4 linked regions of the Drosophila melanogaster genome follow. The protein of the gene in region 1 interacts with the protein of each later gene in a pairwise test. Each region holds a gene or a part of one and is shown in the gene's direction. Other genes may lie near its edges. The genes, in order: zfh1, CG14005, CG9705 and Nf-YA.

Region 1 (8,524 bases):
CAACGCACACGTGCCCAAATATTTCCAATATATCTACCCTCTCTTTCCCGCAAGGACCTTTTCCAGCTGCTTTTCTTTTTGTGAATGAAAATGGGCACGGGGTTTAAGGCTGTGCACAGACATTCAAATGCAGTTCGAAACAAAAGTCAACAATTGACAGTTATGAAAACAGATAACGATGATCGCTCTGACAACGTTTACGACGTTGATGATGATGTTGTTCGGGTTGTCAAGGATAACAGTTGCTGTTGGCACACTTCAAGGATCAACTGAAAGGATAAGAGGAGAAAGAAAGCAGGCAAGCGGGGCGCTAGTGTGAGTCAATCAAATTGTCTTATTAAATAGTTCACTAAAAATTTGAATAACTATAAACCTTAAGGTTAGCTATTAATGATTTTCGACATTTTATTAATTGCCTAAATTAGTGGCAACTGTAACCCTCGCTGCTTATAATATTTCATTATTTCCAAGACAATAACCAATCAGTTTACGCTGCTTTCCACGAAAATCAAACCAGGAATCGCACTTTGCGCCTGGAACGAGCACTTTTCACGAGGGGGAAAATCTTCCCACACGAGAACCACACACTTGACTAAAACCACCGCCCCAATCAAGTTCTAACCCTTGAAAAATAGAAGGGGGAAAATGGGGCTCAGACCGCTGTACATGCATTTTGGGGACGATGAGGAAATTTGACATTTCCCCGCCGCCACTTAAATGTCACATAAAGTGTTAAACGAAATGAGGCAAAGGCGGCCGCAGAACAGAGGACACTTGAGATTTCGATTCCGATGCCGAGAGTCCGATGTTTGTGGCGACCCCAAAAATGTGCATCACTCTGCACCACCGAGGCCAGCACCAGCAGCACCACCACCACCACCACCACACCACACCACTTTCTATGCCATATAGAACCACCACATTCTGAAAAGTATTTACGCTGTCATTACTTTTCGGTTCGGTTTCGAATTGAATTGGTTTCGGGTTCTTTTGTTTTTCGGGGCCGCGCAAAGTTTACTGCTAATTAAAAATTGTGGAAAAACGAGAAACATGCATGCAATTCAATCCCAAGGAGTGTGGGAATGCGATGACCCATCTGGAGATCTGAGATTTACAGCAAACACCCCGAAAAGGATTGCCTTTTCCCAGAGTCCTTTGCTTCATCTTCTCGTCGATCCGACGATTGTAAAGTGAAATTAATTGATTCCTCCGTCGATGACGTCAATGCGGAACCATCGAAAGTACTTAGCTAACTCTATTTTATGTGGGTACCAGCAGCGGTGGGTGAGAATTTCCAAAGTCGTGGAAGCCCAAGCTAGTAGCAATCGGAAAATGATCGACAAATCCAATTTAAATAAAGAACCTACAGTGGGTGTTGCCTTCGAGAGCCTGGGAAGAAAATCCTTGAGTGCGAATGCGGGACGTGGTAATTGAAGGTACTCGCCATTGAACTCGGATGCATTTCGATTCGGATGTGTGTCAATTAAGTGGTTAATGAGGGCAACTCCTGGGGGAACAGGAACAGGAAGTGCTGGGAAACAGCAATCGTCCTGATCCTGATTAAAAATATATACTTATGAAGGCGGATTAAGATCTACAAAACTCGGGGAGGTACGAGCTCATTGCAAGAGATGAATTATTTTCAAGTCCAGACATAAATATCTATTCTGATTCATTCTCGCATATATCTTATTGAGTCATTTTCCCACTTCATCAGCCTCCAATTTTCCCTGGGGCTTTTCCGCCAATCGAACGAGCGCAACAGGTGCAACCGATGGACGACCAATGTGCGCACCTTGCTCGCTTCTCATTAAACACCCACGCCACCTCACACAGATACTCAACACACGCGCACGCGAGTGAACGGCAACTAATTAACATACAAAATGAATGCGAGGCAACAAAAAAAAAGCGGCCTCTCCGGCGGCTATCTCTCTCTCCCTCTCTCTCGCTTGCACCGCCGGCGCTCTCTTTCCCGCTCATGGCAGTACGTTTCAAGTGAGAAAATTATGAAGCTCCACCTATTTTACACTTACACACACGTAGCGACCGCGTTTGTGAGTGTATGGGTGTGTGAGGGAGAAGGGGGAACACATGTTAACCGCATTAAAAATTAATGTACAAATTGTTTATTATGTTGTCGAGTCCGCCTTTTGTTTTTGCTTTTTATCAAAGAGAGCATGTTTCGCTTTTTTTTTCGATAACACAATTTCTGTTACCATAAATATCTTTTTATCCATTTATACTTTTAGTTTTCAAATCTATATGTTTCTTTGAGCAGCAAAATATAAAGTACAAAAAAAGCAACATCCCAAGGGGCCGCCAAAACTTGTTGATGGAGCCAAAGAATCAAGCCACTCGCATTCTGCTCTCTTCGTTAGAATTCTTCGGTTGTCCGGGATCTCTTGGATCTCTGTTCTTCTGTCATTTTGTAGACGTGTCCATTGATGGACATTCTCAAGAACTCGCCCATCAGCAAACGATGTCATTAATGTGTGGCAATCGCGGAACGATTTCGGTATTTCTTACTCGGAAATCGCAGCAGAGGAAATTTTGCAATCGCAAGTGCAAATGATTTTGTCCGTTAACGCAGCGATGTGGCCAGGAAAGGGTTAAGGGATTCCCTGGAAAAAAGAAATCCCCTTTATCTCGCACCGCCAAATTTACCCGAAAGAAAAACGATCGAAAGCTTTCTTGAGTGGGGAATTAATCATAGCGATATGCATACATATGTGTGTAATTCCCACACGGGGAATATTTTGTCATAAACTTGATTTACCGGAAAGACTTAAAAAATTATAATACAAGTATATAATTAAACTATCTTATTGCTGTTCAATTCTGGGAATTTCAGATAATTCCTATTTATTGTTGAGTATTAAACTGTTTATTAAAAATATTTCCTAATTATAACAATTAAATATGTAAATCACTTAAGCTCTACACTTTAATATTGATACCCAGCAGCACAGAGTATTAATAAAATAACACCGAAATAAATTTGACGGTTGGCGGAAAAGTTAATGGAAAGACTCATAAGTCGCTTTATCAATAAAAACGAAATTTTGTGCAAATGTTAATATAGTCAAATCCCGCATAACGGCCATATGTTTACGAGCAGCACGATGAACAAAAGAGGCCACCCTTACGTAGTGCTTACGTCACGGGATAACCGAGAGGAGCGGCACTAACAGCGCTTAACATTTACGATATGCGATAACAGAGAGCTGTTATGTTAAGAATGAAGCGCTCTCGCTTCTCTGGCACCACCACCAACACACCACCCATCAGAGCATTAGAGCACCAACCACACTACCCCCGCCCGAATCACCTCGTACATCGGAACGGTGAACCGTTACACCGTTATATTATGCTGGTGGTGGCACGGAGCACACACACAAACAGCGCCGCCCTCTCTCACTCGCTCTCCGTGGAAACGTAGAACCCCGCCGTATCGCCCTCGCCCGAAACTCACAGTTCGCATCCGACGGATTCGGTAGAGGACGTCGGTCTCTGTTTCGTTCTCGGATTTGGCTTGATGCTTCGAAACTTAGAACTCTGAATTCAGTTGCATCGTAGACGTCGCGACGGCAGCACACGCGTCGCTCACCCACAGAGAAAACTCTGAGCAGCACACAGTAGAATCACGCAGATATAGAACGCAGATCAGTGAAATCGCCCACAAAATAAAAACAAACGCGACACTCGCAGCGGCGCATCGCGAAGAAAAATCCCAGTGTTTCCCATGTTCGAAAGATAAAAAACCCAAGGCCCTTGCCCAAATGGCCGCCACAACACGTGTGTGCTCTATAAGAAAGAAATAACGCCGAGCCCAGAAGAACCCACTAGCCAACTAGCCAACTAGCCAAACAAACTATCCGCATCAAAGTAGAGCAAGTGTTGCAACAAGCATTCCAAATGTTGTCCTGTCTGGCGCCGTCGTCTTCACGTTTCGGCCAAGAGGATACCATCATTCAGCAGAGCATGCCCTCCACCTCCCCCTTCGCCATGCAGTGTAAGTGATCAGAACGCGGATCTGGAGCACAGATCTCGGGTGATTCATCCGCAAACCGCCTCCATTATCACCAATCAGCCGTGCCATAGAACTTTGTGTTCAAGTGATTCGCGCGCCAAGACTCGGTAGCTTCGATTTGAAGATCCCCACATGCAAGCTTAGCAGTTTCCCAGAAACCATCCGCCATCTTGGGTATATGTGTGGTCTCCACCTTCAGGGGATCATAAGAATGAGTAGCTATAGAAAAACAAACTCATAAACGGCGAGTAAGGATCGAGGCAGGTCTCGAATTACCATTACCTACTCCTACGCAGAGAACGGGCTCCGGTTCTCAAAAAGGAGAGAGCGAGCCCGAAACCGAAAAAGTTTGCCCGATCAGCACACTGAGAGAAAACTGGGTCACTTTGTGCAACTTCTATACGCTTTGAGAACTTAAAGAACTTATTGTTGTTCAACTATAATCATTCGCTGGTTTTCAGCTACGAAAGTCCTTTTCCATGAGCTAAAACTACAATATAGTTAAAATTAGTACGGTTTAACATGGCAGATCATTCGATTTCTTATATCTATTGGTCATATCACGCTCTTCACACATGAAAGTCGGCCAGTCGATCTTGAATAATGGCATTATTCCCTGCATTGCATAGCATAGCCACCTCTCTGTTCCTCCCAGTGGCCGACCAATTGCAGCCACATCTCAATTTGATTTGTTGGCACCGCCGAAACAGCACCGCCGCCTTGCCAGTAATCTCCACCCACCGAGAACCAGGTAGAGCTACCCCTGACCAGGAAAACCGCATGCGCAGGCTGAAACAGCAGACGACAGGTAGCTAACTTGGCCAACACCATTACCGCGATGCCGCACCTCCATTTAAGAACCTGTTTTATGGCCATATTGCTGGTCGCTTGCCACTCTGTTTATCGAGTGTAAACAAAGCATAAAACTGTCAGTGGGCAGAGCTCATCGGTTGAAATGGAAGGTGTGAGAAAGAGCCGAAATTAATTGAAAACGCTTAGTTGGGGAGCATTGGGGATGGCGCAATGCTGGGGAAACGCCCACGATTCGTTCGGTGCTCCACTCCTCCGACTCTGACAATTGATAAGCCAGCTAAAGAGACGGATTAATTGCACATGTTCGGTGGAAACGGTTGAAACGGTGGCAACACCGCTGCCATAAATTATAATTTATGGCTATTTAAGCAGCTCCGTTCTCTGTGGGCGGAACTAAAAGCCCTCGAACACGATAGTTTGGCTAATCGATCAGAGATGGCTGCGCACAGGTTGGCCCACATATCTTCGATCCATATACTTTCCGCTTGTTTTCCGTCTCTTCCCTGGGCAAACCGAGCTGCTTGATGGCGCTGGGCAGCTGCGACTGCGATGGATATTAATCGCCGGCTACATACGAAATGCTGTTCGCTGGGCTTTTGGAAAAGCCGGGGGAAAACGCCAGCCAGCCAGCCAGCTAGTCAGCCAGCCAGCTAGTCAAGTTGTACTAATTTTCCGGCTGCTCGGCGTGTGTTGTGTCGCATTTCGAAACGGCTCCAAAATGCCGTAAATCAAAGATTTCGCCCTGGCGAAAACCTGTCGCCTGTTATCACCTTCGACTACGCCCCTTAGCTAAATATACTCTAAATATACTCTATGTATAAATCAGCGCCAATTTCCATTCCCATTTTCGCCCATCGAAGCCCTGAGCAGAAATTAAACATTTATCTGACATTTGCATCTTCGATTGGGAATACCTACCTAGTGTGTGTGTTCCACCAGCAACAAGATTGCCTCCTGTCTAATTAATCATTTTGGCTGCTGTCAGTGGATGTCAGTTTTATATGCTGGTGCTGTCGGTGCTGCCATTTATAACTCCTGGCCGGCTCATCCTGCATCTTTCACCGGGCACAGGACTCTGCCCCGTCAGCTGGTAATCGAAATTAAACAAACTTGGCCCCACAAACTATCTGGCAACTGGCATGCAAAGATGATTAATTTTGCCGATGCCTATCTCAAGTGGAGTTGGAGACTTCGGCCCGACTTTGCCCAAAATAAACAGACTGTGTCTTTAAATTGCAATTGAGCCAGGCTACAGAGCAAAAAAAAAAAAGGAAGCTCCCCATTTGCAACCAGCACAAAAGGACAATAAATCAATGAGGGGAAAGTCCTCTTTGATATCCTGCTGCAGATTCCCTTTATTCCGTGTTCAACCTGCCGCAGCTTTGGGCAAATTATTTGCCACATTTTACTTTTATTTCGCATTTTGGCCAAAAAGTAAATTGTTTGCCAATATTTTTTGCTGCTCGCTTTTTGCCGCCGTCGTGCACACAATTGAAACAAAGATAACTTTGAAACAGTTGTAAAGTGAAAATTGCACGGAATGCAGCCCGCCTCCTTGCGAATATATTTTTTCTTATTTATTTAATGCCCGCCGCTCTCCACGAGACAACAATTGCTACCCGTGCTATCCCCCGAAAAAAAAGTGCCAAAAAATCGGCGCAAACAAAAGGGTGCCCCCTGCCACCCAACCCTTGCAACACCCCCTTAAAAAAGGTGTTGCCAAAGGGCAGGCAAAATTGCAGCGCCAAAGAGGAGGCTCTAAAAAAAAAGGAGTGAGCAGGCACAATTTAACATGTAAACGATTTTGGTTAACGGGTGCTGGCATTGAGAAAAACCGGAGTGGAAAACCCAGGGAAAGCCATGAAATTGGCGAGTGGAGAGGGTTCAGAAGGGCACTTCCCTTCTGATTGGCGTTCAATTGCAATAAATTTCGCACAATTGCACAATAATTGTTAAAAGTTTTAAATAAACAAAAATAGTCAACAGCTCTATTGTGGTAGCGCCAACTGAAAAAGTTTCAATTGCACTCGATGGGCTTTATTTCGGAGTTGTTTTTTTTTCGAGCGCGTACAATTTATACACGAGTCGAGAGGACCAAGTGAATATCAATTAGCCAAGTTAAGCCCAACTTTGGTTGTACTTGCTGAATTAATGAAGTACGTTTCAACTGGCTGAAGCTTCGGTTTTTGGTATTCAGTTTGGTATTTATATATATGTAAATTAATATGCCAATTTTTAAATAACTCATAACTATTGCTATTCTGACAAATGTAATCGTTAAAGTATTTCAGAGATCTCTTTAAAATGGCGAATTTAGTTTGTGCGTTATTAAGATTTTTCGAATATTATTCAAACTAATTAAAGTAACTATTTCGCTCCCTTTGAGGAACAAGATGCCAAAGTATCTCATGGATGGCCGGGCATATTTCCTTCACGATTTCCCCTGCTTTGAACACCTCTGCGGCATATTTCTCTAATTGCTTTCGGCTCGCCAACGCATTGCAACTCCAATTTCAGAGCGTAGAACGCCCACACCACGACATCACACGCGTTTCTGCATATTTTTTCAAGGTAAATCGCAGAAATAGTTCGCCCCGGGACACATATGTTTCCCTACCCTCCAGATAGACCTACTATATATGTACATATGTACAATATGTACATTTGTGCAGATGCAGGGAAAAAAGGACAGGGACACGAACGCGGACACGGCTCGCTTGGCTATTAAAATTTCACACTCAGCAAAGCAAAATGCTACAAATAAAATAAACGTGGCAGCAGCAACTAGCAACTAGCAACGTGCAACGTGCAACATGCAGCAGGCAGCAAGCAGCAAGCAGCAAGCAGCACGCAGCATCAGCTTGCTGAACAAACAAATAAAGCAGAAAGGGCAGAAAGGAGAACTCTATTTATAGGCGATCGTCTGGCTCCGAATCTGCACCTTTGCATTTGCCACTTGAAGGGGCACAACGTGGCCACCTTTGTGCCCATTCGAAAGTGGAGAGTAGACCAGGGCAAAGGTGCGACACTGAAAGAAACCGTCACTTTAAAGTCCGTTTTTTTTTTTTGGAAGGAGTGGAGTGCAGGGCAGAAACCCCTTCATATATATTTTGTATCTTTCGCTGGCAATTGTTCTCAGTGCACGGATCTCTAGGTAGGCAAGCCCTCGAAAGGGCATTCCAAATTTAGAGCGATTATCGGGACAACTCCACATGCCGCTCACATGTGTGGCTGTGCCCAAAGCCGATTGCCACTTGAGATCGGACTTGGACCCTCCTGGAATTCCAATACGATTCGATTCGATTCGGTTCGAGACGGGTTCGTTCTCCACTCGATTGCGGCCATAAATATTCGCACGTCTGAAACTCGACGAGGCAAACAACTGAGCCGTAAACCTTCCCACAGGTTTTCATTTACAAATTAATTGCGACTGTCTGATAGTGTCGTTTTTCGCATTTCCCCCTTATTTTTTTATTATTTTTTTTTTTTTTGTGTTTTGTTTTTCCACTGGCAATTAGCTAGCTCTGTACTAAGTGTTTTTGCACTCGCTCTCATTTGCAGGCAATTTATATCATAAATATGCTAACCACGTTCATTGACTGCAAATGAGCGCAGGCCCGGAGGTCTGTTTATAATTAAGTGCTAGAATTTATGTTTATTTGCATTAAATATCATCGA
Region 2 (7,476 bases), on another chromosome or scaffold:
CCATTAGGAGGGCGTCTACCTTCACGGCTTTAAAAGTAAAGATAACAAAGATTTTTACTTTCGATTTCTAACTATATTCTTTCAACTTCAAGAAGAAGATTGAGATGGGATAAGTATCTAGCATTCCTATTTCAATTTTTATTTGATGAAGATCGTTTGTTTTTTGTAATTGTATGCACTTTTAAAGATCCTGCCGATTTTATAAACATTGACATAAACAATCCATCCACAAGGGCAAAGACCCTAGAATATTCTATTCTAGTGTCTTTGACAAGGGTGTATGCTAGTCTCCTTTAATAAAAATGTTGCATACTTTTCAGCGCTGTTTAATCTTAAAATGTTATTTTACATTTGGTGCTCAGTGCCTCGATTTTAAGTTATTTTTCTATTAAATAATTATAAAATTCTTTGCTCCAAATAATATTATTATATAACTTTGCAGAAATCGATTGTGAAAATATAACCCTTCGGTTTCAAAACTCGAAAATCGATAAAAAAAAAGCAATAATCCAGCGATTTTCGTTATTTAAATATATTTATTATTTAAGTTTACTTTTTAATCTTACAAACAGTTTTGCATGTTTTTTGTTAAGTTTCGTGGCACCGATCAGCCTGCGAAGCGGCATGTTGCAGCAATCCAGTATCTGAAAACCAGTGTTCGTGCACTGCGGTCCAAAATTGAGGTTATGAAAAGTCGGAAAAGGAGTTCACTGCGGCCGCTGGGCCGTAGGATGCTGATGCTGCTTCTGCAGCTGAAGGACGTGGCTCAGAATCTGCGCCTGCTGCTCAAGACACTTGGGGAAGAAGGTCTGCATGAGGTCGACCTTGCGTTCCTCCAGCTCCAGTCGCTGCCGACATATCTTGGTTTGTTCGTAGAGCAGCTGGTTCTTTCGCCGAACTTCCTCCATGTAGAGCGCCTCCAGCGAGTCTGCGTGTGGGGGATTCACAGATCCGAATGGACGACCGCGCTTCCGTGGCACAGGGACGGGGGAGGCGCCAACGACGGCGTTGTTGGTGGTCGAAACTGGAGCTGCAGCCGGAACCGATGCCGATACCTGTGCGGGCACCGGCGCTGGCATGCCTCCGTTTGCGTTTGTGGCCACGCTGATGGTGTTATTGCTGCTATTGATATAGGCTACCGCCGTTATGGGCTGATGGTTGACGGTCGATGTGGCCGCAGTGCTAATAACGCTGTTGTTATTGAATTGAGCCGGCTGCTGCTGAAATTGCGACTCATAGTTTGTTTGGAACTGCTGCTGTTGTTGCTGCTGCTGCTGCAGTTGTTGCTGCTGCTGTGGCGTCTGCAGCTCGAGCAGCTGAGCCGGCTCGGCTGGGGAATACTGTTGCAACTGCTCCTGAAAGGGAATGGAGCGGTACTCATCGTCCTCGTACTCCTGCTTGACCACCTCGTCATACTGGTCCGTAAACAGCTCCGTGTTGAAGCTAACTCCGCCGCTGGTGTTGTTGTTGTGGCTGCTGCCGTGATTGCTATTGCTGCTGCTATTGTAATAGGTGGCAGTGCTTGGCTCACTGGCCAGTCCCAAGCCTTGCTGCTGCTGCTGCTGAACGGATTGCTGCTGTGGCTGCTGCTGCAACTGCTCTGCGGACGCATCATCCCGGGGCGGTGTCATGTCGCGGTTGTTGAGCAGCGCCTCTGGCGGCAGCGGATCGGCGTTCTTGGGCCTGTGCAGGTTCTTCAGGATGCGATTGATAATGTCGTACTTCTTCCAGCGCGTAGCATAGCTCGAAGGATCCGCCTGCAGCTGTTTTTTGACTTGCCTTAAAAGGGAAACCAGTCAGTTAATCCGGTATAGCAAAGTGTCTAAACGGTTACCTACCTGAACTTGGCCCTGGTCTGGTTGACCTTCATCTGGATCTCCTCGGGCTTCACGTCCACGGCGAACCGGTCGCGCAGTTCCTCGGCCCACCGGCCAAAGAAGATGGTGTTCTTGCCGGTGCGCGTCAGGCGCCAGTTGTCGCGTCCCCAGATCTCGTACAGGCGCTCCTCCTCGCTGGGCGTCCAGTAGCGACGCGCCTTCTCCTTGCCCCTGCCATCGAGCAGCTCCTGACCACCGCACATGCCTAAGTCCTGCTCGGCACCGCTGCCGCTTCCGCCCGCGTTCAACGCCAGCTTCTCGTAGTCCATCGACTGCTCTGCACCGGCTCCTGATCTGCTCCCGCAGATGTATCCCTGTAACGTTGCCTTTGGATATGCGATCTCCACTCTAGTTACACAATGCGACGCTGTGGTAGAATGGTTGAAGCCAAGTGCAGTTTTTCCGCACAAAAAATCAACAACAGCTCTGATACACAGAAGAGTGTGACCTTGCGGCGCGAGAACGCCGAAAATGCCTAGATTCCTGAGCGAATTTCCTGAAATAAGTAATATAATAAATTTCATTTAGTACCATATCAGTATCATGTATATACTACAGCTGGGAGAATGGCTTTGGGGCTAGTCCAATATTAAGAAATAAAATTATTAAGATATTAGATATATCTTTTCCAGATTTCAATAGCTCTATAAGAAAATTTAAATCATTGATGGTATTTTTTGGCGCCTGCCGCGCTCAAGCGTTATTGGTATTTCCACGCCTGGTCCTTGGTCACGTACGAAAATGTTTGGATTATAACGATTCCACAAAATTGAAATTAGACCGGAATATGAGCGGCCAGAAGCACCTGCGATTGCGCTACTACACGTCGCTGGAGGAGGCCATGCTACTGCGGCTGTGGCGCGAGCACCTGCATGCCATACCCTCCTACACGGACAACCTGCCCATTTTCCGGGAAATCGCGCACGGCCTGCAGCAGAACGGAGTTCGGCTCAATAAGCAGGAGGCTCGCCGGCGCATCAACAGCTACCGCAACAAGTATTTGTGAGGCGCAGCAGCGGCTCGGGTCAGTTCACAGTGCTAATATCTCCTTCCACTTCTCTGCAGGAACGATCGCAATCGCGTGGGGGGCAATGCGAACTTCGCGAAGGATTGGCGTCTCTACGCGCTGATCGATTGCCTCTTCTGTCCTGCCTGGCCGTCGTCCGCCCTCTTCCATTTCCGCAATGTGCTGGAGACGATCCGTGCGACAGCACGTGTGGATTTGCCCGCCCTGCCGCCACTGCTATACACTTCGCCCGCCCAGCTAAAATTTGAGCGCGACTCAGAGGGATGCACCTTCCTCGATGCCCAGCCCCTAGTTCCCGCAGTAGTGAAGACAGAGCCTCTGCCAGACGAACACCACCAGCTGGTGAATATTGAATACAAGCCCACAGTGACGCAGCTGGAAAACGCGGCTAGCCACTACCTGGAGAGAGCTACTGCCGAAAGTGTCATTCAGCGGTCGCCTCTCACGCCTGCCAACCACATCCTGCCCGAGGCAGAGGATGCGCCATATGGAGGCCACACCAACGGTGGCCAGACGGACGCCGAACGTTCGGCGAGCAAAAGGAGACGAGGGCGACGTAGTATACTGCCGCACTCGGGCAAGATCACAATGGCAATAGTGGAGGCGCTGCGCAAGGAGAACAGTTTGCTCGAGCAGCAGAACGACGCCTGTCTGCAGTCGCTCGTGCGCAAGGAGAAGCAGTTCCTGGACATGAAACATAACTTTCTGGCGTATATGGAGCGGCAGGAGGCAGTGCTGGCGTTAATAAAGCAAACGACCATCAAGCTGGAACCATGATCCCGACTACTAGCACCACGTGGTAAGGACATTGTATGACAGCTTTAGCTTTAAGTTGGGAATAGAGTCGCGGCGCTCGACCCTGTGTATGTTTTTCAATTCGTTCCTTTCTCAGACACAGATGTCTAATTCACTCGACGTACAAAGCAGCAGCATAGCGAACCGAAGATATTATAATTTCTCAAACGTTCTTTTTCTAGCGTCATAAGTGTAATGTGTATGAACAATCGTCTGTGCAAAAGATCAATCTATACGGTCTTTAGTCTTAAATTAAAAACATTGTCTTGAGGCGAACTTGTATGGTAGCTACATTTTTAAAAAAAAAACTAAAACTAAACAACTGGCTAAAAAATAAATTAGATGAAAGACTATTATACTATATATATATACTATACTATATAGACTATACTATTATTTCTATTGTTACAGAATATCTTGTTGATATAATAGTAACGAAATCAAACATAAATTCAAATGAAATCAGTGTGAATAGCCTATTAAGTTTTGCATTTCGATCAACTTAGCGTGTGCAACAACCGCCGGTTATTTGTTCATCAACCCCTGCTGCAGCAGTGTGGCCGTAGCCGGAATGTGAAAATATCCGCAAACACCGCATGCGGACCTCTCTTAGTCGCTCTCTTAGCGCACAATGCGCTCTCTGCCAACCGAAATGCCACAGACTTTTTGTAGGCTTTTCCACTTTTTCGATTTCGAGACTTCGAGCGAAACGGTCGTGTTTTTCGCGTGTGTGCGGGTGGCGGACGCGCGTGCCAATCGGAAAAGGCCTTTAAATCAAATGAGTGGCTCGCCAAAGGAGCGCATCAAGGTGTGTGCGATTGTATCGAGTGTGTGTGCTTGTGCGGTGCGGAGAAAGCCAGCCAGCCGCCAGTCTGGGATAAAAATAAAGATTAAGATTGGGATAAAACAAACGAACGGCAGCGAAGTGCACAAATTGCCGTGGAATCGGGGCTAAAGAAGGAAAAACAAGTGTGCAGCACACACGGATTGAAATGTTTGCCAATGTGTGCGAGCGTCACCTAAATAAACAACAAAAAATTCGATTTGCAGCAAAGAGAGCGAGCGAGTGAGAGAGCGCGAGAGTGGGAGGCTGTTATTGTTGTTGCTGCTGTTGCCGCCGCTGCATGTGGCATGCCCGAAAATCCCAATCACAATCAGCTGAGCCCTGCCGCGCCTCTCCCTACCTCACCCCCCGCACCCATACGCCTTCTCACACTGTTTGTTGGCCAGTGTAAAAGTTTCTCGTTCTGTTTTGCGTGTCTCCTCCGTTTCTCTTTCTCCAGGGCCACAACACTGGGCTACAAACTATGTGAAAACCCGTTTCGTTACATTTCGCTTTGCCCCGCCTAACCCCCCCCCCCCCCTCCCATCATTAATTCGGTTTTTTTCTCTGCTGTCGCGTCACGCCTCTCACGTCTTTTTTTTACTGTTTTGTTGCAGTTGTTGCTTTTGCCCAGCGCCTCTTTCATTCATAGAAAACGGTCAGCAAAGCAAAGCATAGCGAGGCGACAGCAACAACAAACAGCAGGTAGAGCAGAAATATTAGCGCGATTTCTTTTCGTTTCGCCCAAAAGAGCAGCCAAAAAATCAACAAAATACGAAACACAAAGCCAAATCAAAAGAAATCAAATTTCAAATTCGTGCGGCCACCAGCAAATATCGAAATAAAGAAATTATCTAAATCATCATCAGCAGCAGCACAAAAATCGAAAATCTCCTCGCTGTGTGTGTGATGTAAGTGCGATAATAATATTTAACAATTGTAAAAGTTTATTTTATACATCATGCCTAACTGGCGCTATTGTTCGCCCCTTTTTTTTTCGTCTTCCGCCTTTTTTTTTATGAAATTTGCTACTCATATCAGACCAACTTCGTAACTACATCAAGTACAATTTTTAAGGTTTATAATGTTACCATAATTTGTTTAAAATTTCCCATGATTGTCGTCATTTATGGGGTTTTCCTTGAGCGCTAATCATGCGGTTCTATACCACTTGAATGATAAGATTGATAACATTCTTGGCAATCATTATCGAATCTATGGGAAAATCATAACAAGTTCCATTTTATTCGCAGGCAGAGAACTGAAATTAATCGTTTTGGTTAATTGCCAATTTGATGAGTTCCATTTTCCAATCGCGATTTAATTTTCACATTAACAACACATTTGTTAGCCCATTAAAAATTTGTTTGGCATTTGTTTTCTTTAAAAACAGCTCATTAAATCGCCGGAGTCCACATAAATCTTCTCGTCGTTTGTGGCTAAATATTGTCACTTAGCAAACACTCGAAAATATATAACTTAATTTATGCGCACGACTATTAAAAAAGAACTTGGAGGTGTCGAAAAAAGCTAAATATAGGAGGAAGTGTATTAGGTAATTGTGTATTCCACATTGTTATAAGCACTACTGTCTTTTTATTGTTATCTGACAATTCTATGCAATTTATTAAGTACATGGATCTTAAGTTGTATAAAAATAGACATGAGCTGTACATAAAAAATCAACATTTCGCTGCGAAGTGGTTCGAACGGGCAATTTAACACGATCTACTTAACTTGTTGTGTTGCTGTTTATTAATAAAATATTTGCCAATTATACGACAGTTTGCGCGTTTAGTTCCATGTGTTTCGCCCTATTATTAAATATTTATACTTGATAAACACGTGCTTATTTACACCATTAGTATGATTCGATCATTTTCTGGGTAATCAAACGATAACTGAACTAAACAAATGTTTTTCTCAATAATTGCGAATATTTGTATAGTAAAACAAGCAGAGCAGTTTTCTGCATCACAGAGCTCAGTATCTGGTATCTGATGTCGCATATTGTAGATAAGAAACTATAGTAAGGGACTTGGTAAATTTAAGGCGATACCAACGCATTGCGGTGTTGGGATTACGTAGAACATAGGACCTTGGATGCGATTAGCTCGGAAAGATGTCTGGTTTTTAGATAAATAGCGAGAGAAACAATCTAATACACAAGATTCAAGCGGAAGTTTATAATCGTTGCCAAGAAAATTCCAGAAGGCTGATTTCTGCCTATGCACTTCAAAGCTTTTCGATAAATAAACAGTGTAAAATAGTTTTTCCCAGATTAAAAATGCTTTTTAGGATGAATAAGTTCTGGTGAATTTCTCTTTGCTAGAAATACCCTCTTGTGCATTTTAAGTTTTTTAACATAAATTGAAATTATTATTTCTTTAATTTTTCCTCTGCCCCTTTTGACCTGAAAAATCCATACGTCGCTTGGTGACTTCTGAAATACAAATGACACCCCCAGGGGGTCACCCACCTACAAGTGACGTAACTTCAAAGCTCACATATGCATTTACACAAATTTTGTTTGTCATGGAGACAACTGAATCATCTTGAGCAACAGCATTTATTACACTGGTTGACAAGAAACCCGTTTTTAAACGTGTAACCAAATCTACGCTATATACACTTTTAGTTTCTTTATTTACTTTAACATATATAAATTCCAATATTTAAATATTTTTATATAAATAAGTAATTTAGTTTCTATCAAATTTATATAAGAAAAGGCGTGAGGTTTTGTAGTCCACTTGGGTTAGCAAGTTCGTAAGCCTTTTCCTGGATTCCTTATCGGTATTGAATTGCCGTGTTGTGGTTAACCGCAAATAAGCAGTTTTGTTCATTTGGTTTTGGTTTACGTTTTACACTTTCCAAGACCCAGACCTTAGAAATCAGTCAGTTGTAACGTACATCTTATGTTAAGAGAAAAAGATATCTATCATGATATCTAA
Region 3 (8,159 bases), on another chromosome or scaffold:
AATTTAGACATCTATTTAAACATTCGTTCATTTCCACATTTCATTTAGGAGTATCTATAATTACGCATATACATATATAAATCGGATATTGTATGGATAAAACATTTTTGTATAGCTTTATATGTATATTATTAATCGAACCAACATTTTCTATTGCTTTATACAAGACTTATCCACAACAGACTTTGAGCATTCACAAATTGAAATCAAAAATCAAAAACAAAAACATGGAGTACACACAATATAGAATTATGTTCAGATTAATCTTGTACGCGAACCTTAAGGTTGACAAATGTTTAATAAACGGAAATAATGAAAAATTTATAACTAATAACTTAGCTTAAAAGCTCGTTTATATCAGTAGTCACATATTTCACAGAAATTAGCTAAAAGAAAATTTTTTTTGGTTATTTTCACGGAAAACTAATGCACACATACATATATCATCGCATGGAACTGTTCACTTTGTAAACTCTACACTTATTGTCGGTGAGGGCGGCCAAATAGGATCCGGCCTGGGTAGCCACAGGGCAGATGTCGTAGATCACCTCGTTGACCGGCATTGTTTGCACTCGCTCCTCCCGCCGCACATCATGCATCATCAGCTGCTTACTATCCTGGAGATAGCCAACCACTAAGGTATTATCCTCGACGGCCAGTTGGGTCGGTCGCGTCATAACCGGTGTGGCCTTCGATCCATATATGGTGGCCTTGACCTTCAGCACCGGCGTTCCGTCAATCTTGTCCATTCGACCAAGTATGAAGCGAGACTGGGGGAAATTCGGATTGGATCGTGCCGATATGAGCACCGTGTCCTGCACGGCATCGTATTGCATGGACAGAAAGGGTCCCTCCACATTTAGCCGAGTGGGCACAGCCGTATCACTGGCCGCAGCGTACTCGTAGAATGTAAGGGCCGTAAGTTGGCAGACCAGGAAGCCACCGCTGGTAAAAATCTTATTGGGTTGCACAGGAGCTATGTGTATCACAGGACTTAAGTTCACTGTAGGGAATAAGTAAATGATTTAAGCGGGTATTAACGTTTGCATATTCATCACACTCACCTTCGGCTTGGAACTCGCAGAGAATGTTCTCGGGAAACCGCAAGTCGTAGATATAAACTCCACCTCGCAGATCTCCGCCGTATAGAAAGTGTTCGCGCTCGTTGCGATCCAGGGCGCAAGACCACAGCATCTTGTCATGAGCGGTGAACATAGACGAGCAAAGCCGTGTTCTTATGTCGAATATCTTGATCTTTAGTTCCCGACTGGCCACAGTGAGCAAGTGCTGTGAGTCACTAAAAGCAATGTCCCGGATTAGGAGTGCCGAGGTGTGCAGGAATTGCAGGGGCTTGAAGGTAGGTGGATCAATAAAGCGTACGCCGTAGCCGGGGAACAGGTTTTGGGCACTCTTTTGCGAGGCCACCAGCATGGAGTGCTTGGCGGAATAGAGCAATACACGGCAGCCGGGATCTCGAGTTATCTCGAAGTTCTTCTCCATGTACAATCGGTAGGTGGCTAGTTGTTGAATGCTCTTCTGGCCGGATGCATCGCCTCCGAAGGCTCCCCGACCACCACCTGCCCTCACCAGCTCCTTAAGCCGTTCGTAGTCCTTCTGCAGGAGAATCAGCTTCTCAGTGGTGAGTGTGTTAGCCAGCTTCGCGGTAGCCAGCTCTGTTGTTAGAGTATGTGTACGCCGCCGCTCCGCCTCCAGCTGCTCCCTAATATCCGTGTCCAGCATCTGAATGCGCTTCGCATACAGATGACGGATATCTCTAAATGTGGCCTTCGTCTTGCACTGCGGGCACACCTTCACAGAAGATTGGCGATGGCTTTCGTTTAACCACCGCCGAATGCAGCTTTCCCCAAAGAGGTGACCACATCGCAGCGAGACCAGTCGATGCTCGCCACTCATCTCCCAGGAATCCAGACAAATGGGACAGGTCATGCCATCGTCCTCGTCATCTACAACTATTGGTTTGCCCTCGGGCGACTTTTTAAGGCTTTTATCGGCAGCAGCGGAGAGACGTTTACGTTTCTTGGGCGGTGATGGCGTTTCTAATGAGATCACCTCCTGCTCTTCGCCTTGATTGCGGCGGGAATTTCTCGGGGGACTGGGCAAATGCGGAGGATCTACCAGAATTAAAGGCGGAACTCTCGGTTGCTCGGGTTCCGCGTTCTCACCAGGCTGGTCACGTTGTTCATCAATCTCAACCGCCGGCTGCAGACCTTCAACTGGATTGAGGATTACCTCATCATCACCAGAGCTATCATCTGTAGAGGTCTCATCGGCATAAACTTCCGGATCAAGAGCTTCGGTTTCATTCTCCATTCCTTGCAGCAGGATGTCTGAATTCCGCTTTCTCGCTTCAGACTGATCGCATTCCCTGCTGCCCGATGAGTATATTTCCGGATCCACGGCGCTGTCGCCTTTTGCGAAACCTTCGCTGTCCGTTTCACCTATATATGGTCTCAATCAAGTTTTCCTCTTGGAAAACATGAAAGTTCTTGTTATTATTTTATCTATTTCGCGACTTTCCTGCAATAGGACGCTAAATTTCAAGCTAGGGATGGTCAAGATCGAGATGCTTTAGTGATGGAACAACGGGGTGAAACTATCGAGTACTACATGTAAATAAATATATTTAAATATTCATTGTTAGTGTGGACAACATATTAGTCTGAACACATTTTTTTCGTATATCAAGCATATAAAAAAAGAATCTATATAAGAGTTGAGTGTTTGTGCGGAAAATGCAATTTTTTAATTGTTTAAAATAATTATAAATGCTTTCAATTAAATTTTCACATCTATTTATTCTACCAACAAGTTGGAGTAACTTGTAATTAATCCTGTTTGTTCGTTAAATTTGATTTTCAAATTTTATTCATGTTGCTATAAACATCGATTGCCAATTAGGCTAAGCGATAGGTTTTGGGATTTCTGGAACATTCCAAAACGTTCACTCTGAGGTCTGACTTTGACGCCTCCGCCGCCATTCGTTAAAAAACTGAAATTCTTAAAAAGCGCGCATCAAGCCGGTGTAATAATTGATAAAAAAGTTTAAAAAAATCCCAGATTCCAAAGTTGATAAAAGTCATACCGCGCAGGACTGATTTAGGGGGTACAAATAACATTGGCAACCGGCGTTTCGCACAGCGGTAAAATTTGCATCAGTGTGTGGGTGTTTCGCAAAAAAAAAAGAAGCTAAGCCAGGATTTTTGGATTGCCAATTATCAAGGTGCTAGGAAAGAGGGCGTGAAGTTGTCGGTAAGCTGACCGAGTACACGTGAATTAAGTGCAACGCAATTTGCTGACTGACTAACCCGCCCCCCGTGGCCTTGAACTCGACAGACTTGGCTGCCGTCCACTCACCCACAAACACACATACGCACATATATACACACGCGCAAGCCGCTTCTACTGTCTGAAGAGAGGAGAGGAAAAGAGCGAAGAAAGGGGAAGAACGCATAAATCGGCAAGTAAACGAGCAGTGTAAGAAAGCCATGACCGAACCAAGGACGCCCGAGAAGCTGCTGGCCGCCAAGCCGCCGGTTTTACACCACAACAGCCATAGTCCCAATGCCTCGCTGCAGCTGCCCAGTCCCATCATCACGAGGCGCACTCGCACGGCCTCGACGTAAGTCCTCCTGCACTGCCCTGCCCACCCAACCAGCAAAACCACCCACCCACTACTGGCCCCACACACACTTGACCCCAAGGGGAACTTGGCCCCTATGCAGAGCCTTTATGGGGCCAAATAGGCGCCGAAAGTTCACATTATTTCACAAGGTTCGCTCTTTTGTATGAAAACCAAATACAACCTTTTGAAATAGTAAAAGAATAGCATGGAAGCTTGTAATTTCTAAAGCAAAAGCTTTCTATAATGTTTTAAACTGCATTTGTTGAATTAGATGAGCAAACATAATGAAACAAACAGTAATTAGTAATCGAACATGGAACACTTTATTGGTTCCACATTTACATTTAATATATTTATTTTTATGTGTATATACTTATAAATATTTTTATAACCGTAAGGACCATTTTTTTTGAAAGTTTAAATTTGTAAACCCCATACTTTTTCAATTATTTCATTGTACATACATACATACATTCAGAAATCAGTCGCTGCCGAATTTATAAGCTCTCGGAACCCTTTCGAACATAATCCACGTACTTAAATTCTTCCCCCTCATATCCCCATGCGCATCCTCCATTGATTAACTTGTCTCTTCCTGCTTAATTCTTTTCCCAAACGCTGCCAAAACGCAAACACGCGCAAACTCAAAATAACGCTGAAAAAACATAGCTCCGCTCGGGCCTTGGAAAATCCGGTTGTGACCGGTATGGTGAAATCCTTCAGCCGCACCAAAGGACACGGCTTCATTACACCCAACGCCGGCGGAGAGGACGTTTTTTGCCACGTTTCCGAGTAAGTGAATGAATATTGCATGCGCGGCGACCTTTGCGCTGGCTCTGTAAGACCTACAAAAATGTAATCTTCCCACAGCATCGAAGGTGAATATGTGCCCATGCCCGGGGACGAGGTCAAATACCGTCTGTGCGCCATTCCGCCCAAGTATGAGAAGCACCAGGCCGTGCACGTGCAGATTAGCCACCTGACGCCGGAGGTGCACCACAAGTGGGAGGAGCCATTCTATGGTGGCTCCTCGCCCGCTAAGTAAAGCTGAAGCTTGTGGCCCTGGGAGATTTCGAAGCTCGGAAGCGGAAAAGTGTGTTGTTAAAAGCTGAACGGCCTTCCAAGAAATTTAATTGAGCTAGAGCACGCCACCCGAGATGAACGAAACGGAAAACCGGAACAGAACAATAACCATGAAAGTAAACGAAAGCACAGCAATCGAAGCAGCCAGGAAAAAGCCGAAACCAGACCAGAACGTAATAGAATGGAACAACAGGCCTGCCATCCAGCCAGCCAGCGAGCAGCATCACAAGAGTTTCAATTGAACACTTAATTAGAATTTAAGCTAAGCTATGGAAGTCAAACAAAACGCAGTCACAAATATTGCCTTTCCCTCTGGAAGAGGGGAGAGCAACCGCAACCAGTTTCGAGTATATTATTAAAAGCGCGTATGTATTTGGAAATTGAAATTGTTATTCGAGAAGCCACTAGCACAGCGCCTGCGATGCTGTGGTGCCCTGTATCAGTAATTACTTTTAATTATAACAAAACATCTGAATGTGTTCGCGAAGCAAACAAGCAAAATGCTCTCAGTAATTCACTTTATTATTAAAACAGCTGCAAAACAATTCCATCGGTGATTTTTCTGGAGTGGCGTGGGAGTTATCAGCATGGAGTGTGTATTGTACGCACAATTGCGGTCAGCATAATAGCCGCTTGCTTGTATGTGTTCTAATAAAATTTTATGCAAAATTATTAATCTTACGTTTTTATTACGGCATCTAAATGTTCATTTTAGATATTAGCTAATGTCTGATTGTAATATCACGATATTCATAACATGGCAAAATATTGTTTTAGCCGCAGCTGTAACTTGTATTTAATTTAGTGGTGTATCTTATCTGCAGTGAAAGCAGATACTTTTTGCAGCCCAAAGCATACATGAATTTTTGGCTCACTATTGAAAATATATTTCCTGCGTTCTGCAGAAAATCGAAACCGTAACATATTCAATAAAAAAAAACCAACCTTTTTGCCACAATAGATACCTAAAGATTTCCGCCCGCTAAATTTATCAAGTAGAGCCATAAATAGCCAAACCAACTCATACTCCTAAAATTATGGATTTCCATTTCGTAAGTCTCCCGCCACTCAGTTTGAATTTCGAATGATTAGTGTGACCATGCGGCGGTTTATAGCAACTGCATGCGTAGTGCGACAGAGAGTTGCTATAAAAATATATTGGAACGTCAACAAACATATGCCACGAAAGAAAATATTCCGATTCAACGGAAAATGAATTAATTAAAGACCGAACTGGCAGATATTCAGAAAGCCATTCGATCGTACATTTAACCAAATTAAAGGCATCGAGGGAATTGTATCGGGAAAATACGTAAAAAGCTCTACATTTGAGTGACGTGGTGTTATTTGTTGGTGATTAGAAAAACAGGTGAGCCTGTGGCCCCCAAACTAGCATGTCTTTATAATATATACCTATCGCTATTTGATCAGCATGTCCGCCATAAGGAGAAAGCCAACGGGCAGCAATGCCGACCAGGAGTTGCTCATCGACGAGCCACCAAAGTCGGAAAAGGTGGCGGAGCACCAGAAACCAGATATTCGTGGAGACCGGAGGAATATAGCCATACTGCTGTTCCTGTACGTTCTACAGGGCATTCCCATCGGGCTCATAGCAGCCATACCAATGTTGCTGCAAAATAGAGGAGCTAGCTACAAACAACAGGCGGAGTTTTCATTCGCCTACTGGCCATTCAGCTTAAAGCTGCTGTGGGCTCCAATTGTGGATTCCCTGTACATCCGGCGATTTGGACGCCGGAAATCGTGGCTAGTCCCAGTGCAATACCTTCTGGGAGCCTTTATGTTACTCCTCTCCCTCCACGTGGATCGCTGGCTGGGCGGGAACGGTGTCGATCCCAATGTGCCGCTCCTGACGCTGCTCTTCTTCCTGCTTAACTTCCTGGCTGCCACTCAGGACATCGCCGTGGATGGCTGGGCCTTGACCATGCTGAAGCGATGCAATGTTGGATACGCATCCACCTGCAATAGCGTGGGCCAAACAGCTGGCTACTTCTTGGGCTATGTGGTGTTCATTGCCCTGGAGTCCAAGGATTTCTGCAACACCTACATAAGAGACGTGCCACTCGAGGATGGCATGATCACATTGCCCCGTTTCCTTTGGTTCTGGGGCATTACATTTGTGGTAGCCACTACTTTGGTGGCAATTTTCAAGAAGGAGAACGACATCGAAGACGCGCATATGGACGCTCGCTACACGGAGGAGCACGAGTTGAACATCCATGAGAGCTACAAGATATTGTGGGACATGGTGTGCATGCGTCCCGTCCAAATTCTGGCTGTAATTCTGCTCACCGTGAAGGTCACGTTCGCAGCCTCTGATGCAGTGACCAGCTTAAAACTCATTGACGCTGGTGTACCGAAGGATAAGCTGGCTTTACTCGCCATTCCCCTAATTCCTCTGCAGCTCATTCTGCCGCTGGCGGTCGGTCGATATACGAACGGACCACGTCCGATGGACGTCTATCTGAAGGCCATTCCCTATCGCATCATCATGGCAACAGTGGCCACTGGCTTGGCCTACATCACACCCTATATTGTCCGTGGAGGAGCCGTGCCTGCTTATTACTACGTCCTGCTGATCACCAGTTATGCCATCTACCAAGTATTCCTGTACTCCATGTTTGTGGCCGCCATGGCCTTTTTCGCCAAGATCTCCGATCCAGCCGTCGGTGGCACTTACATGACATTTTTGAACACATTGTGCAATCTGGGCGGTAATTGGCCCAACACAGTGGTGTTGTGGTTGGTGGACGTGCTCACCTGGAAGCAGTGCTCCAATAATGCGGAAAATACCTGCCAGGGCAAGGAGGAGCAACAGGTGAGTGCTCAGAGAGAGATTCTACAGCATACAAGATTATTATTATTATTGTATATGGATACATATGTATGGTGAAAGTTTTACCCCAAACCAGGAAAAGATAAACTTTGCCAGTTATGAGATAAAAGTAACTAAACAAATATTTTTCTTAATTTTCTCCCGCAGAGCTGTGAAGCGTCGGCTGGCAAGTGCGAGATAACCTTCGATGGGTACTACTTGGAGTCGGGCATTTGCGTTCTGTACGGCATAGTGTGGCTGCTGCTGGTGCGCAAATGGATCGTTTACTTGCAGGACCTGCCCGTCAGATCCTGGTTGGTGGTCAAGCAGAAATCGCGGTAGCAATCAATAGTGTGATCCGGGGCCAGATCGTCATAAAGATCCAGCACCCACTTGTAGGTACAAACAACTAATTCTAGGATTAGCAGACGTTTGCATTCTGTAGGCTAGCGAAATTACAAATTCCCGCCTTGGTATTGTTTTTTGTATAACTAATTTTGATTCCGAAGGAAATAAAATCAAATGTTGAATTGAGCGAATGAGTAAGATGTTAATTTATTCGCTCGACTGCGCGCAATCATCGGTTTTTAAAGGGTACAA
Region 4 (8,089 bases), on another chromosome or scaffold:
CTAATTGCGATTACTAAGGGCGCAAAACAGGTGGCCGCCAGGAGGGGGTGAAGGGAAAACAGGCAATCAAACAATAAAAGAGCGCATCAATAACAATACTCTTTGTGTGCGTGCCAAAAGGTGAGCAATTTCATAAAGCATACCAACAAACATTTATCTGATTTGTCACACCTGCCTGTTGGAACCGCATACTCATATAAGGGTTAATCTTATCAGAGGCCCACCGTTGTTGCCACCGCCTTTCAAATCAAATCAGACCGCTTTGCCATAGTAATGGTCTGGCAACAACAAATGAGTATCGCTACATGGAAATGTGCGCGTGTGTGTGAGAGACCAACAACAAAACAAGAAAACAAGCAAACGCACGAAGAAAGTTGTGAAAATTCAATTTTCCAATGGCCCAGTCTGATTGGGACTGCCTTGAAGCGTCCTCTAATCAGATAACTATCAATGTAAATGCGTAAATATCAACGCATATGCGTTGTATTTGTGGAAAATATTACGCTTTAACCACATATACACACACCCCCGCTTCCGGTGGGTGTTTTTTTTACGCTGGAGGGGGGAGGGTGGTTTACTCACCTATGCGCTGGCCAACTGGAGTGGAGAAAACATTTCCCAAGGCGCCAACGTTGAAAAATGAAGCCATCGTGGAGAAGTTTCTTATTAATGCTCGCCGTTGGGTTGCAGTGCGGTTAAAATTGTTCTTTATTTACTTTTTGTTCACCTGGATGAAATGTTTATGCACTTGTCTACAGCAGAGTGACCATGGCTGGCCTCAGCGAAAAATACCCACAAAGAAATGCATTACAATAAGTGGGTAAATAGGAATAGGTTTTTTTCCAGGGCTGCAGCATTTTATTTCATTTTATTTAAAAGAATTATCCACAGTTTTTGAGATAATGACATAGTTATACCCGTTACTCGTAGAGTAAAAGGGTTTATTAGATTCGTTGAAAAGTATGTAACAGGCAGACCATATAAAGTATATATATTCTTGATCAGGATCAGTAGCCGAGTCGATCTGGCGATGTCCGCCTGTCTGTACGTTTGAACGTCGAGATCTCAGGAACTATTTAAGCTAGAATGTTTAGATTAAGCGTGCAGATTCCAGAGACATAGACGCAGCCCAAGATTGTTGACCCATGTTTCCATGACCACTCCAACGCCCACATTAGATTGTTCTTAGTTTTATTGTTCACCTTGCACCTTGCACCTTTTGGATTGTAATCACACCCACATCTTTAAACAATTTTAATTTTTTCTCATTTTATTCGCAATCCGACTAGCTGAGTAACGGGTACCTCATAGTCATGGTTGTTCACAGAGCGTGTTATGTATCTCAAAAACTTTGTAATTTCAAAGAGTTATTTCACAATTCATTCCACAGATTTCGTGGATAATGAATTTTCGATTGTTCAACCTTGCACCTGTCTCAAAAATGAGCTTTCCGTCAGCGGTCCTTCTGACGGTACCGCTGGCGGTCCCACTGATGGTTCCGCTGATGGTCCCGTTGATAGCCCCACGGACGGTCCCCTTGACGGTTCCGCTGACGGTCCCTTCGATGGTTCCGCTGCCGGTCGTGCTGACGGCCCCGTCGACGGTCCGGCTGATGGTCCCTTCGACGGTCCCGCTGAGGGTTCCGCTGAGGATCCCGCTGAGAGTCCCACTGAATGGCATTGGAACGAACTCGTTGATGACCAATCCAATGACGGTCGCGCTGACGGTCCCGCTGACGGTAGCGCTGACGGTCTGGCTGAGGGTCCCGCTGAAGGCTCCTCTAGCGTTCCCGCTGACTTTCCCGCTGACGTTCCCGCTGACGTTCCCGCTGACGTTCGCGCTGACGCTAACGCTCCTGCTGACGGGCACGTCGTCGGTCTCGCTGTCAGTGATCTCCATGTCGACGGCCCAGATTTCCGAGGACAGTTCATAGGATTCGTCCTCTGAAAGAAGAGAACGTAGGGTATATTAGTGAGTGAGGCTTTGAGACTTATATTTTGATAGTCCCGACTTGGTTAGTCGGCTAAACTTCTCTGTTCCAAGACCCATAATCTTAAGCCCATTTAGATCTAACTATAAGTTGCATGATTCTTACAGAATATTGTGTTCTGACTATAATAGTCATTATCCTATTATCTGTAATCTTTGCTCTCTGCCGCTCTTAAAGCAATCAATCAAATCAATCGGTGCATTATTCACAAATACGACGCAAAATTTGTTTTTGGTTAGATTAAGGAATATATGAGTTAGCGGTTCCAACAGGCTGATAGGACAAATCATATGCCTCGCACGTAGGGTATAAACTGAGAAGAAACGTGTTTTTCCCCGGAATTCTTTGCGACACATACAGTTTGTCAAGAAACTGTTTACACACTGTGAAATAAGTTGAATTTTTGACTTTAAAGCTAAAAATAAAGGGTTTTTTGCTTAATTAAACGCAATTTTTTTATAAAATATAATTAAACAATATTTATTTTACTTATAAATCAAAAAACAAATTAAAAATATTAAATATACAAGAAAATAAACAACAAATTCCAAGTTTACACACTTTTGAGACTGTCAAGAAACTCTTTACACATTTTGTTTTCCTACTTTGTTTTGTTCTTTTTCTTAGAACGAACTCGATTTTTCCGTTATTTTTGGCTTTACATTGCTTTTTACAACGCTTCTATTGAAATTTGTTGACTTTGCTTGTGAAATTTTGCTGATCAAACGTGCTTAAAGCGAATTATTAAATTTAATAAAATGCCTGGAAAGAGATTAACTTTTGAAGTTACCCAATTAATAAACTATAACCACCAGTTGGGAAAATCTTTTCCAGAATTAGTATAAATGTTTCCTGTATCCCGTAAGACCGTCTACAATGTTTTAAAAGGCTCGGAAAAAGAGGGCAGGCTTGAACCTAAGAGTGGTGGTGGGCGGAAAATTAAAATTAAAAAGCGTGTAGACCGCTTTATTATGCGAATAGTGATTGCGAACCCCCGAATCTCGGTCAGATCACTTGCTCTGGATATCAGGCAAGAATGTCACCTAACTGTGTCACACGAAACTGTGCGCCAAGTCATCCTACGCCATAGGTACTCTTCAAGAGTTGCAAGGAAAAACCCTTTGCTATCAGATGCCAATATTGAAAAGCGTCATTTATTCGCTATGAGCATGATGGATCATGCGGAAGAGTACTGGGATGACGTCATATTTTGTGACAAAACAAATATGATGCTCTTTTATAACGACGGGCCAAGCAGAGTATGGCGCAAACCGTTGAGTGCGCTAGAAAAACAAAATATCATTCCAACAATAAAATTTGGAAAAATGTCACTGATGGTTTGGGGCTGTATCACCAGCCGTGGAGTGGGAAAACTAGCCTTAATTGAGAGCACAATAAATGCCGTGCAATATCTAGGAATTAAAAAAAAAAATTTGAAGGCCAGTGCAGAAAAATTTGGTCTAGTTAGCAACAACAAGCCAAATTTTATGTTTTACCAGGACATGATAAGAAACATAAAGAGTGCAATGTACGCACCTGGCGCCCTTATAACTGTGGTAAAGTGATCGATACGCCCCCTCAGAGTCCTGATCTGAACCCCATTGAAAATTTGTGGACCTACTTAAAGAAGAAGGTGGCAAAAAGGGACCTAAAACACAACAACAGCTTATGACTGTAATAGTCGAAGAGTGTGAAAAGATCCCGTTTGAATATGACCTGCAAAAACTTGTCCAATCCATGAAAAAAAGGCTTCAACTTGTAGCTAAAGCCAATGGGGAACATACTACATACCAAAACTTTTAAAATTTTAATAAAATAATTAAAAAATTTAGGTTTAAACTTCGATTTAGTGTTTTGTGTAAAGAGTTTCTTGACAGTCTCAAAAGTGTGTACACTTGGAATTTGTTGTTTATTTTCTTGTATATTTAATATTTTTAATTTGTTTTTTGATTTATAAGTAAAATAAATATTGTTTAATTATATTTTATAAAAAAATTGCGTTTAATTAAGCAAAAAACCCTTTATTTTTAGCTTTAAAGTCAAAAATTCAACTTATTTTACAGTGTGTAAACAGTTTCTTGACAAACTGTATGTATGTACACTTGCCACACTTTTTGGTGTTGTAATTATATCTTTCGGATCAGAAACCTCGCAATTTACGTGGCATTATAATTAAATATATTATTATTATTAAAATGTAACGAACATTATCCAAAATAAGATACAAATTGAAAAAAATACGGAGAACTAGAGTTCACTAAAATTATTAAAGGTTCCATAGGTTTCATACCTATGGCCCTAATATTGGAGGAAATATTTCCCATTGCGGTGGAGTTATTTATTATAGTTATTTTCACTGGTTATTTTATGTTATGGTATTTTCACTGGTGGAAGTACGGAGACTGAATGATATATGTTCTGCAGCCATGCAATATATATAAGTACAATTTATTAAATTTTTTAATCTAACATTGCTGTGGTGAGTATGGGGGTTGGGTCATAGCGTTTAGTATAAGTATTTTAAGTTAAGTACTTTTCTTGAGTGACATGGACTGGTAACATTAACATATGGCACAATATTTTAATTATTTTTACAAATAGCATTTAATTTTAAACTAGCATTAATTTCTTTTTATATTTTTGGATACCCCGTCAGAAGGACGAAAGCACCGGAAGGACAGAAGGACAGGAGTCATCGCCGGGGATAAATTGGAGTTTTGCAGCATTTAAATATAGCCGACTGTCCCACCCACTGTCCCTCCCACTGAAATCTTAATGTTGCAGATCTATTGCAGAAATCTTATTGTTAATAAAGCGGTTCATGACATGGATTGGTTGTGGTATTGGTACTAAAGAGGGCGGATCTTAAACTCCTCCCACTGTTATGTTATTATCTCAAAAACAGTGGAAAATTTTTAATGATTTTTTAATTTAATGAAATATTCCTGAAATGTCCTTAAGGTCTGAGGAGTTAAGGTTTGAGGAGGTCTAGCGTGCAAAATGTTGGGGAGCCGATTATTCTATCGCATTATTTTTTTACTTTCTTGAGCCCTATAAGTAGTACATAGATAGTTAGATCTGCCATTTTGAAACATTTTTGCATTTTTATTCTTGGGAATTTACTCCCAAATAACGTTAGCGCAAATTTATTAATTAATGTATTTATTAAATAAATTTATTATACTGATAACATATTAATATAGCAAAAAAAAATACGTTTTTGAATATATGTGCATTCTTTTTAAACTGCTGCACACATTTATTATTTTTTTGGACTCTTACAATACTTTTTCAAAAATTTTAAATATAACTGCGACTTTGAGCGATACTTTCACTTTTCCCGTGACGCCAACCGATATGCACAGCGCTTGCAGCCCTGGCCAATTTTGATGTGTTTCAGCATTGTACCCTGACAACCCTGCTCTGTAAAACTAGGAAAAACAGAAAATTTTATTTTCAATTGTTAAATATCCAAACGTAAACAGCCGGAAAATGTCACGACAAGCCTCTCGTTTGGACGCCAAGAAAGTGGTAAGTTGGCCAAAGAAGAGAGAACAGCGCAAGATCGGTATCGTTAGTCATTTGGAGGCATAGATCTAGTTGTAAGGTTAGATTTGTGCCATAGTGCCTAAGAACGAATCTTTGACGTGCCATCCACCCTCAAAATCGGCTTCATTCACTTTTCCAGTAAGTGTGTGTGTTGGGGGCTTGAGGTTGAGACACGGACACACAGACAGGCACAAGCCGACGTGCAATCAGGCAATGGAAAACCATTTCAGCGCCACCAGTCGCCCCTCAGCCACGCCCAGAATGTGCACCACCGCCTCTGCCGTCGGTGCTGCCGCCAGCGCCGCCGCCGCCGCCGGCAACAACAATAACAACAGCAATAGCAGCAGCAACAACAACGCAACAACCGGCAACAATTTAAGTGTTAGCACTGCAGCCGGAGGAGCCACAAATGCCGCAGCAACGGCACAACCCATCCAAGTGATACCAATGCCCATGCTGCCCACCGGAGCGGCGCAAATCATAATTGGCCAGCAGCCACAGGGTCAGGCGACGGCGACGGGTCTGCAGCCACAATTGATACCGCTGCAGGCCAACCAGATTATGCTGCAGGCTGCGCAGCAGCAGCCACAGATGCAGGTGATGCAGCTGCCCGATGGCCAGACTATATTCTATCAGACGCCCACCATTGCCGCCTTGGATCCGAATGCAGCGGCCAACGCCGCAGCTGCCATGGCAGCCCAGCCGACGCCGCACTACCTCAATATCAATGGGCAGCTGGTGCAGATCAATCCAGCACCGAGCGCTAATCAGGCGGCACCCACAGCTGGGCAACAGATTATAATGGTGCCGCAGACAGCGATGGCAGCGGTGAATGCAGCGGCCGCCAATGCCGGAGTAGGCGCCGGAGTGGGCACAGTGGTTACCCAACAACAACAGCAGCAGCATCAACAAGTACAATCCCAGACCCAAAACCAGCAGCAGCAGCAACAGCAGCAGACGGTGGCGGCGGTGGCTGCCAGTGCTGCAGTCAATAATATAAGCGCCGATGTCAGCACAAGTACAACTGGAACGAATACGAACAGCGAGGACGAGAGCTCCAAGGGCGAGGCGGACGAGGAGCCGCTCTATGTGAATGCCAAGCAGTACAAACGTATTCTCATTCGGCGGCAGGCCAGGGCCAAGCTAGAGTCGCGCATACCCAAGGAACGGTGCAAGTATCTGCACGAATCTCGTCATCGCCACGCCATGAATCGGGCTCGTGGCGAGGGTGGTCGCTTCCATTCGGCACAGGAGAAGGGCGACCAAGATTCGTCCGGCCCGGAAGGCGGCAGCATGCCAATGGCGTCCAGTGGCGGCGTCACCCTCAGCCGTGGCACGGCACGTGCTCCGCCCAAACTGATCGCGCCACATCAAACGCCCAGCATTACCATAACGGCGATCAAATCGGAATAGTCGCCTCCTAGCTGTAGGATACAAACTAGATAAGATTGTAGTCATAGCGTTTAGTCCTAAGCCAGTCGCTCTGTGTCCATTTGTCCTCAATCACACCACTTTAGTCGGCTCACATAGTTTTCATTTTTTTTTTTTTTCAAAATTAAGTCTTCATATATTATTTTCAAAGGGAATTTTTGGGTTTTTCTATTTATTTTCATTCACTTAGATTGGAAAAGTGATAAGTTCAAGAAAGAGATAATTGTTTTACTTATTATATTCATTTTCTAAATCGTTTCTAATTTCTAATATTTATTTTCTGTTAGCCAGCTGTTAAAAATTGTTTGTAATTATTAAATAGAGAATTTATTTCATTTACTAGACATTTTCAAAATTTACACAAGTAATGCAATTATTAATTTAGGGTTTATAGTTCATTTCAAAATGGAATGGGGAAAGGGCTGCCAATAGTCACCGCAAAACAACAGAGCTCAACAATATAAGATTCAACAAGGGTGAATGATATAGTCGCCTTCCCCGACTATCAGATACCCGTTACTCAGCTTTTGGAAATGCGAACTCGAAATTTCAAAAGTTCATAAATTTCAAACAAATTTTTTGGCAAATCGATAGAAGACTAATAAAATTATGAAAAAATATCCAAAAAATTTTCAAAAGTGTGGGAGTGGCAATTTTGTGCGGCTTGTGGGCGCTGCGTCGTGGTCTCTATCATTAACCTCAATATCAACCCTTTAGCGTTTATATTTCCTGAGATCTCTTTTAAACGGACAGACGGACATGGTTACATCGACTCGGCTACTGATTCCGATCAAAAATATATATACTTTATATGGTCGGAAACGCTTCCTTCTGCCTGTTACATACTTTTCAACGAATCTAGTATACTCTTTGAATCTACGAGTAACGGGTAAAGCACCATTGAGGACCATTTGCCGCATAATAAATGCAACACAGTTTATAAAATTAAAAAAAAAAAGCATATACATTTACTGCGGAACTCGTGAATGGCTACAGTTTTGTATATGGTACAGGCCTATAAAACGCTTTATTCTGGCTCTGGATTGATTTTTATTCGCTATCTGCTCTCTCCTCTCTTCCTCCTTTGTACAACAAACGAAAAATCAAAACACAGAACTC

Evidence for each region.
Region 2: the proteins of zfh1 (region 1) and CG14005 interact in a two-hybrid assay, tested with the Drosophila melanogaster proteins (one large-scale study listed by BioGRID).
Region 3: the proteins of zfh1 (region 1) and CG9705 interact in a two-hybrid assay, tested with the Drosophila melanogaster proteins (one large-scale study listed by BioGRID).
Region 4: the proteins of zfh1 (region 1) and Nf-YA interact in a two-hybrid assay, tested with the Drosophila melanogaster proteins (one large-scale study listed by BioGRID).

The regions. Positions count from the first base shown.
Region 1 is NT_033777.3:30,762,366-30,770,889, forward strand, and holds the start of zfh1 (Zn finger homeodomain 1), read left to right. Parts: upstream 1-3,560; 5' UTR 3,561-3,918; coding exon 3,919-4,015; intron 4,016-8,524. UniProt on the Drosophila melanogaster protein: Involved in the development of the embryonic central nervous system, embryonic mesoderm and adult musculature.
Region 2 is NT_033779.5:5,797,075-5,804,550, reverse strand, and holds CG14005 (uncharacterized protein), read left to right. Parts: upstream 1-2,575; 5' UTR 2,576-2,664; coding exon 2,665-2,879; intron 2,880-2,942; coding exon 2,943-3,681; 3' UTR 3,682-4,034; downstream 4,035-7,476. Other genes in the region: CG7239 (uncharacterized protein), read right to left, coding at 708-1,779, 1,839-2,146.
Region 3 is NT_037436.4:16,777,151-16,785,309, forward strand, and holds CG9705 (uncharacterized protein), read left to right. Parts: upstream 1-2,949; 5' UTR 2,950-3,270; exon of another isoform or gene 3,271-3,354; 5' UTR 3,355-3,506; coding exon 3,507-3,640; intron 3,641-4,312; coding exon 4,313-4,435; intron 4,436-4,513; coding exon 4,514-4,688; 3' UTR 4,689-5,269; downstream 5,270-8,159. Other genes in the region: mus302 (mutagen-sensitive 302), read right to left, coding at 444-1,003, 1,065-2,331; CG9706 (uncharacterized protein), read left to right, coding at 6,159-7,562, 7,728-7,901.
Region 4 is NT_037436.4:9,439,556-9,447,644, reverse strand, and holds Nf-YA (nuclear factor Y-box A), read left to right. Parts: upstream 1-5,377; 5' UTR 5,378-5,482; coding exon of another isoform or gene 5,483-5,521; intron 5,522-5,678; 5' UTR 5,679-5,752; coding exon 5,753-6,952; 3' UTR 6,953-7,589; downstream 7,590-8,089. Other genes in the region: CG3529 (uncharacterized protein), read right to left, coding at 583-649; Srg3 (Sting-regulated gene 3), read right to left, coding at 1,360-1,943, 4,281-4,314; Bet3 (blocked early in transport 3), read left to right, coding at 5,483-5,521, 8,085-8,089.